Saccharomyces cerevisiae S288C: one gene and its partner. Changing the gene in region 1 together with any one later gene gives a genetic interaction. Each region holds a gene or a part of one and is shown on either strand. Other genes may lie near its edges.

Region 1 (4,554 bases):
TCGCTTGACCATATAGTAAATTTGCAGGGCGTCTGAGCTAGATATTCAGACATGTTGCGTATTTGGTGAAGGGTGTATATGACACTTTATATAGCCGCTTAAGATGGTACAATAAAGTGTTTATCTGAAGTACGTCACCTTGCAATTGAATATTTGGTGGATTCTCTCTGTTTCAATTTTTCTGAAAATTGTACCGATCGTTAGCTGGCAATTACCGTTACGTATGTGTCAAGCAAAAAAAAACCCACATATTAAAAATCAAGTAAATAGAGCGATTGATATAGCATTTACCTATCGATATAAATATGTTTTAAGTGATAGTTATACAAGATAAAAACAAAGAATATTCATATGTACGCTGTTATTTTGTAATTATTTTTCTTGAATACTGGACATAGCATCATGAATTTTTTTATTACATTTCTTCATTACAGTCGAAATTAGCTGTTCATTCTTTTGTCTCTCATCATAATTTATTTACAGCAAATCGAAGAGCCAAATTACTTCTTTCCAAGCTTATTTTCCAGGTCGCTTAGTTCCTTTTCTAAGTTCTTGATTTCCTCTTCGTTCTCAAGGGTCTTCATTCTTGCCAATTCGGCTCTTTTTCTCCTTGCCTCCGTTTCTTCCTCCCTTCTCTCCAGCTCTTGGATCCATAACTTTTCTCTCATCTTGGCTTTCTCCTTCAATTGTTCCTCCTTCGCCTTCAGTTCCTTACCAGAAGTCCCATAGATAAATGAACCTGCGACTAGTGCGACTAGTGTGGCCGCTTGTAGACCCACACGCCAACGGAAGTAGTACTGAGCTTTCCATTTATTACCAAGACGAACATTTTGAGCAGCCAGAATGACAGCTCCTGTAGTCAGCAAGCACCCAATGGGTACCAATGGCTGTTTCTTACAATGGTATATAATCCTTTCGCCAAAGGTCATATCATCCAAATCCCTCTCCGTAACATCGAAACTAGATGGCATGCGTGACATCTTGAACGTATAACTGTGATGTTATCGCTTCTAGTACCAGGAATTGAATTAATTCCGATAGGAAGCATTGCTTCCTCTTCTCTATACTTTTCTTTACTATTATTCTTGAAGCATAAAAGGGCCCTCCTTGATTCGCTACCCGGAAACGATAAAGGTAGCTTTTTGCTCTTTTTGCTCATATTAGGCCTCTACTAAAGCATTTGTGCGGTATTCCAATTTTTATTATTGTATTTATCTTACATGAAATGGGAGGAGGGGTGCTCCTCGGTTGAATTGTATTACGTAGCATTAGGGTTGCCTGAGGCGTACACTTCTAGAAACCAGTTCGCCAACTTGGCCACGTCTGCATCCAAATATACGTCGTTCAGAGCAACATTGTATTCAAGTACAATCTCCATAAAAGCACTGGTGGACAGCTGATAAAGAACACTGATCATGTCAGTAGTGTCTTTCATGCTATCTTCGTCTTCACTGTCTTGTTGTACTCTATCTTGGGCTGTCCTTTGTGTTTGGAAGGCAGTGTATGCCATCGATTCCGGATCCCAATCGGCAAATTCACCCAGTGCACAGATGGACCTCTCCAAAGTCTTAAGAATATCCCCAACGGATGCAATGATACCGCCTTTTGGATCTTCTGTCTTTGATCGGATCAGCAGTCCTGTCAGTGCTACCACACTATTTGCGTGGCATATGGGCAATGGAACCAGCTTCTCAGCTTGCCTTTTCTTGGAAATGGACCATATGTCAATTATCGAGATTTGGGCTTTGTTGGAGCCATTTGGTAATAGTCTGTAATTGTCGCTTTCATCAGATGATTGTCTTTCTGCGTAGGAAGGGAAAATAAACGACATTATAGAATTTTTCAGTTTTTTTAACATCAGACGCATAGCGGTCATAAATGTTGTTTCGTGGGTGAAAATAGAGCCGTTAAAAGTTTGTGTCGTTTCATCTAAATCGTTGTCGTAATACGAGGACCTATGCCTTTTCTTGTTTCCGCGGTTAAGCAATACACTATCGTCAGTTCTTACCCTCAGCCTGTTTGGTGATTCATCTAATAAGCCGTTATCCCGTAATGGCGCCATCATAGAGGGTCGGTTCCCAAAGAGTCTTTCGTTGGCGCTTGTTAGTTTCCCGTTCTCATACATATAATCTAGATTTTCTACTTTTTTTTTATGTCTAGCAGTTGCAGAGCCCCCAAGATCTTGTACTGATCTTAGGTACTGCACAACCTTTTCATTGTTTATCTGAATGGTCTTCAAGCATTCATTGAGGATTAATGACCAAGTATTACCACTACTGCTTCTGAACTTGGAGTGATATATTGGTGCTCGCAATGATGGATCCAGTGAAGTGGCCCTATACGCTAGTTCCTGGTAGGCAGTCAACCTAGTAAATGGCTTGTCTGCAGAAAGCCCACTAAGCAGGGTTTCCATCGGCGTCGACGACAAATTCGAAATTAGCTTGCCCTTGTGCAGACAACCTATGGACATATGTGCGTCAAATGCTATATTTATGAATTCGAAAGTGATGAAGATAATGCAGGAGATTATTAGTAAATTTGTGACAGCTAGCACGCCATTCGTAAATGAATCAAATAATCCCGATTTTTGCCTGGAAAAAAATACTGTGGTAAAGATTGGTAATACGAACATGCTGATTACACTTAGAATGACTGACTTCTCCATAATCCTCTTGACACGCTCTAATACGTAGTCTTGTGGGGCCTGGAAAAAGTTTTCGCAGTTGAACGACAATTTGTCAGCGTCAGTGACATGATGTTGTAGGTTGTAAATCGTGGGAACGACTAGCCAAATAAACAGCTTATAGTATGGCTTCCATCCAGATCCGCCACGTCCGAAAACCACACCCAGTACGAATGATAAAAGGATGCTGCCCATGCTATAGACTCCCTGGTATACAAGAAACTTTACTGATAACAATTGGCCTAGAATGAAAGTAAGTGAATTAGCGAACCCAAAATTCTTTACATGCATGTAATTTTTTCTTGTCACAATGATCAAAAGGGAAACTAGGTTAAGAGCTAAAATATTGGGAATAAATGCCAATGCCAGTTCCCATAACGGTGAGTGTGGCAACGCCAGCAGTGAAATCACCACAGTTTGGATAATAGAACATATGAAAAACAACCTCGTAACTAAATGGTTGAATCGGGTCTTGCACACGTCGCTAAAGATGGTATGGTACGTGTACCGTGGATTCAACAACTCCCTTGGCGTCTGTATCATCTGCTTGCCCTGTAATGTCCTTTCGTCTTCTCAATCACACTTACTCATCGCCAAAGAGTCTGCTCTTCCCGTTAGTGATTCTCGATGTTATTATATTCTTTAGTCTGTTAAGAAAAGACGAAAAATATAGCGGCGGGCGGGTTACGCGACCGGTATCGAATGGCGTTTTTAAGCTATTTTGCCACTGAGAATCAACAAATGCAAACAAGGAGGTTGCCAAGAACTGCTGAAGGTTCTGGTGGCTTTGGTGTGTTGTTGATGAATGAAATTATGGATATGGATGAGAAGAAGCCCGTTTTCGGTAACCATTCCGAGGACATACAGACCAAATTGGACAAGAAATTAGGACCTGAGTATATCTCCAAGAGAGTTGGGTTTGGAACAAGCAGGATTGCATACATCGAAGGTTGGAGAGTAATTAATCTTGCTAATCAAATCTTTGGATATAATGGCTGGTCTACGGAGGTAAAAAGTGTAGTTATCGATTTTTTGGATGAGCGACAGGGAAAGTTTAGCATAGGGTGTACTGCAATTGTTCGTGTTACGTTGACTAGCGGGACTTATAGGGAAGATATTGGGTATGGTACCGTGGAGAACGAAAGACGGAAACCTGCCGCTTTCGAAAGGGCCAAGAAATCTGCCGTTACGGATGCCTTGAAAAGATCTTTGAGAGGGTTTGGTAATGCTCTAGGAAATTGTCTTTACGATAAAGATTTTCTGGCAAAGATCGATAAGGTGAAGTTCGATCCGCCAGATTTTGACGAAAACAATTTGTTTAGGCCAACGGATGAAATCAGCGAAAGCTCAAGAACGAATACTTTGCATGAAAATCAAGAACAACAACAATACCCGAATAAAAGAAGGCAATTGACTAAAGTTACAAATACCAATCCCGACTCGACGAAGAACCTGGTGAAAATAGAAAATACAGTAAGTCGAGGTACCCCAATGATGGCCGCACCTGCTGAGGCTAACAGTAAAAACAGCAGTAATAAAGATACTGATCTCAAATCTCTCGATGCTTCCAAACAGGATCAAGATGACCTTCTCGATGATTCTCTTATGTTTAGCGATGATTTTCAAGACGACGACTTGATAAATATGGGCAACACAAACAGTAATGTTTTAACGACAGAGAAGGATCCCGTTGTAGCTAAGCAAAGCCCAACTGCTAGCTCAAACCCAGAGGCAGAACAAATCACCTTTGTTACAGCTAAGGCTGCAACTTCCGTACAAAATGAACGTTATATTGGTGAAGAGAGCATTTTTGATCCCAAATACCAGGCACAATCCATTAGGCACACCGTTGATCAGACTACGTCCAAGCA
Region 2 (3,804 bases), on another chromosome or scaffold:
CCTCGTCGTCCACTGTTATAGATTGTCTTTTGCCCGCATCGGCAGCGTTGAGCTTTTGGATGCGGAGAAATTGTTCGTTCTCCAGTAGATCCTTCTTCTTGTCCATGGTTGTGTTTGTTATTGTTGCTTTTGCTAACGTAATGTGTCTGTTTACTTCTTGTCTAGGTGGCAATACCAGAATTAATAGCGGCTAATTTTCGTCCCCTCTTATAGATTCCGGGAAAAAAGAAGGCTTAATAATATTACAAAGAAACTGTTGGAATTTTTCCGGTTATTGCGCGAGAAGCCGTTAAATGTTAACTCCGCGGGACCGACAAGAGCGATATAAAGTTTAGCATTCACGTGTAACTGCAATGAATAGTTTTAGTTGTTTTCAAAAAATTTCAGTATGTTTTTGTATTGGTTTATCTATATATTCGAATATATAGATGTATTGATGAAAGGAATTTTATAAAAGACGAGGAGCGGAAATAAAGTTGAGGCAGATAAACCGACGAGGTTTACGACTTGAAGATCTTGGAGTTTATTCTTTCTTCGTTAGAAACGTAGCCGGTCCTTCTTCCCTCTTTCTCGAGTCTCTCTTCCTCTTCGGCGACCCTCAGTGCGTTTTCCCAGCGGCGCATTTCGTTGACCTTTTGTTTGTTAGGATGTAACTTATTCTCGTACATGCTCAAACCAACGGAGGCCAGCAGCAGCCCGACGGTAATGAATTGAGCGTACATTCTTGCCTGCACGATCTTCTGAGCTTTGGTCATGATGGGGTCTTTGTTCACGATTACCCACGACCCATACAGCGAAGCGGCCCAGGCACCGGTGATGATCTTATACTTGTTATTAGATAGACCTTCGACAAACTTGTCCTTTGTACTCAAACTCTTCCATCTTCTGTGCTCATCTAGTGCGTCTTCCGAGGAGGAACCGGATCCGTACATTGTAGCGTCGAAATTGTTCGAGGCCTCCTCCGCACATATAGCAGTCAAGACCGTGGGAGGGGTGATCCAAAGGGCGGTTTTTATGGACCATGTTAGAGTCGAAGGCTTGAATTTTGGGTACCTTCTTGGTAGGACTTTGAAAATTATAGCAGAGATTGCAAATCCGGCAAGGGCACCTTCAATACCACCTTTTAGCGTATGTGAGCGATGAGCTTCAATTTCGTCTTGGGTTAAAATCTTCATTGTGCGATGTTGGTGAGTATCGGTGCACTTGTCAAGAGTTTTTTCAAGCTAAAGACGTAGTAAAGAGTGTTTATATAATAGAACATTCTTTCCAGGTTAAACGACAAAAAACAAAAGATGGTTAGGTTAAAAGGGAAATAAGAAAGAGCATTCTTTTCTTTTTTTTGTATATTTTACCATTGTTTGGTTGTAGGAAGCAAGGGTTGAGGCCTAGACGGCGCAGTTTTTTGCGGGTTCTTTGCTGCTGTTATCTCGGTCAGGTGTTGATCGTTAGCAGCTATTTAGCGTGAGGTGTACAGAGGCCGCAGGGCTTTGTGCTGCTTCCAAGCAGGTCTTGCCGGGCGAATCGGTGGGCCGGGACGGCTCTGACAGTTTCGGGAAATACCCGAGAGTGAGCGGTTTGTTTTACTTTAATTGGCCATCGAAAACAATAGCTTAACAGTACAAAAGGCAAATAACATACAAGTAGTTGTATATATGTACATATCTACACATACATGCGCTCTTTCCATCTTTTTTTTTTGTTTTTTTAGATCTTTTCTCCGGGTTTCTACTTTCATTGGTTTGTTTTCTGCGTTACGTACTATTATTTTTCAAATGCTATATACAAGCGCCATCAGTGCATGGGGGAAAAGCGAAGAGGGAGAGAGAGAGAGAAAGAGAGAGAGAGAGTAGGTTCTTGTGTTGCTCATTTTTCAAGTAGTCTTTTCTTGACACTACACCAGACGGCGCACGCAGCGGCCACCATTGCCGAGGAATAACCCATGGGTTTCAAACCTTTTGAAGACTTGAACAAAGCGCCCGTGAGGGCCCCAGCGCCAATGGAGCCCGCGGTGTCATGTTTGCCTCTTAGTGCATCTATTGTAGAATTGATGATATTGTAGCTCAACGCGAGAATCCCCGCATTATTACCTAAGAAGGGACCTCTCTTAGTAATGTGATTCAGGACGGTGTTCAATTGCAATTTTCCGGGACTATTGGGCGGAATATTCTGCAGACCCTGCATCATACCAGAAAACCCTCCGATACCAAGTCCCAGCAGGTAGACGGCACCGGTACCGTAACATAGGTCATCGGTCCACCCACGGGAAGGGATCAGACCCTGTGAGCCTTCTAACGAGGATAGTTGTTCTTCTTCCAGATCTAAATACTCCACACCCTTGTCTAGACCAGCCAAAGGATGCAGCCTAGCGGTGTCGACATGCATTCCACCAGGACCTGATATTATGTTATTGATGTTTGGCTCGAAACCTAAACTCTGCTTCAACGATAGTTCCTTAGGCTTGGTTGTATCTTGGCCGCCCACGGCAGCATTCGCATCATCGGTAGGTGTCTTATCTCCAAAAAGCCACGACATGATTGTGTGTGATCTGTTAAACAAGTATACCTATATTATCTTGGTTATTTTTTTTTTTTCTATCTGCTTTTGTTAACGCTATAACGTGTAGTATGTACAGGCAAAGAGAGTAGAAGAGGAAAATGGTCTTTTTTTTTTTTTTTTCTGCAATGGAGGGCGAATGCAATAACCTATTATTTCTATTAATTAAACGCAACAAATGTTTCCCTTTTGCTCTACGTAAAGGTTCCTTTCTCTCTTTTTTTTGTCGGTGTCTTTTTTTTTTCAGTATTTTCTCTTTTTTTCAATGAATCGTCGATTTCCTTTTCTTCCTTTTGCGATTAAATTATTTTTACCCAGCTTTAGCAAGCCAGTTCGTACGCAGCGACTAGCAAACAGCCGGGTAACTCACATTTTGTTTGCACACTTAAAATACCCATACAGAACCATTATATATGTTGGGTTGAATTGGGACCTAATGTGCTGCTCAGGTGCCGCGTATATCATGACACTTATACTTGGTGGGGAATCGCCCGTCAGGCCTGAACGCAACGAACCCGCGCATGCATCGACGTCACAGTGAGCTCAGGCCGCATCACGGCCGTTACGCCCTCCAGAGTCACCACGACTGCGACTAGTATCATCCGTCAAGAAGAACAAGAACAAGAACAAGAACAAGAACAACAAACTCCGGGCACATCTCTCGGCTTCAGTCGCTTTCGCTCATTGCCTGTAGGTTGGCCCGATATGCGTTGACGTTATCCAAAGGGGAATGCTTCATCTTGTTGAACAACGCCCAACAATTTCCACTGCCCACCGAATCGTTGCGCCCGTTAAAATCTTCACATGGCCCGGCCGCGCGCGCGTTGTGCCAACAAGTCGCAGTCGAAATTCAACCGCTCATTGCCACTCTCTCTACTGCTTGGTGAACTAGGCTATACGCTCAATCAGCGCCAAGATATATAAGAAGAACAGCACTCCCAGTCGTATTCTGGCACAGTATAGCCTAGCACAATCACTGTCACAATTGTTATCGGTTCTACAATTGTTCTGCTCTCTTCAATTTTCCTTTCCTTATTCTACTCTTTTTATCCCTTTCGTACAGTTTACCTGAAGATAAAAAACAACAAAGCCAATTCCCTAATTTGCAATCGCCATTTGCATCTATATATATATATTTGTTGTGCCATTTTTTTATCCTCTGTGAGTGATCGGTGCATGTGTTTATAAAAGTTTATTCATTCTACTATACGAACTTTTCCCTCTGCCCTTCCCTCCCGCTTCATCCTTATT

The links. Genes that interact genetically often act in the same process or in processes that back each other up.
Region 2: mutations in RCF1 (region 1) and RCF2 impair growth when combined (synthetic growth defect), as found in Saccharomyces cerevisiae (3 studies listed by BioGRID, with this or other methods).

Annotation. Positions count from the first base shown.
Region 1 is NC_001145.3:212,861-217,414, reverse strand, and holds RCF1 (respiratory supercomplex assembly factor RCF1), read right to left. Parts: upstream 981-4,554; coding exon 501-980; downstream 1-500. Other genes in the region: USA1 (Usa1p), read right to left, coding at 1-53; NDC1 (Ndc1p), read right to left, coding at 1,259-3,226; recombinase RAD52, read left to right, coding at 3,485-4,554. UniProt on the Saccharomyces cerevisiae protein: Assembly factor that plays a role in the assembly of the respiratory chain supercomplexes (SCs) composed of ubiquinol-cytochrome c oxidoreductase (cytochrome b-c1 complex, complex III, CIII) and cytochrome c oxidase (complex IV, CIV).
Region 2 is NC_001146.8:661,641-665,444, reverse strand, and holds RCF2 (Rcf2p), read right to left. Parts: upstream 1,176-3,804; coding exon 501-1,175; downstream 1-500. Other genes in the region: ARE2 (sterol acyltransferase), read right to left, coding at 1-106; protein transporter TIM23, read right to left, coding at 1,864-2,532. UniProt on the Saccharomyces cerevisiae protein: Assembly factor that plays a role in the assembly of the respiratory chain supercomplexes (SCs) composed of ubiquinol-cytochrome c oxidoreductase (cytochrome b-c1 complex, complex III, CIII) and cytochrome c oxidase (complex IV, CIV).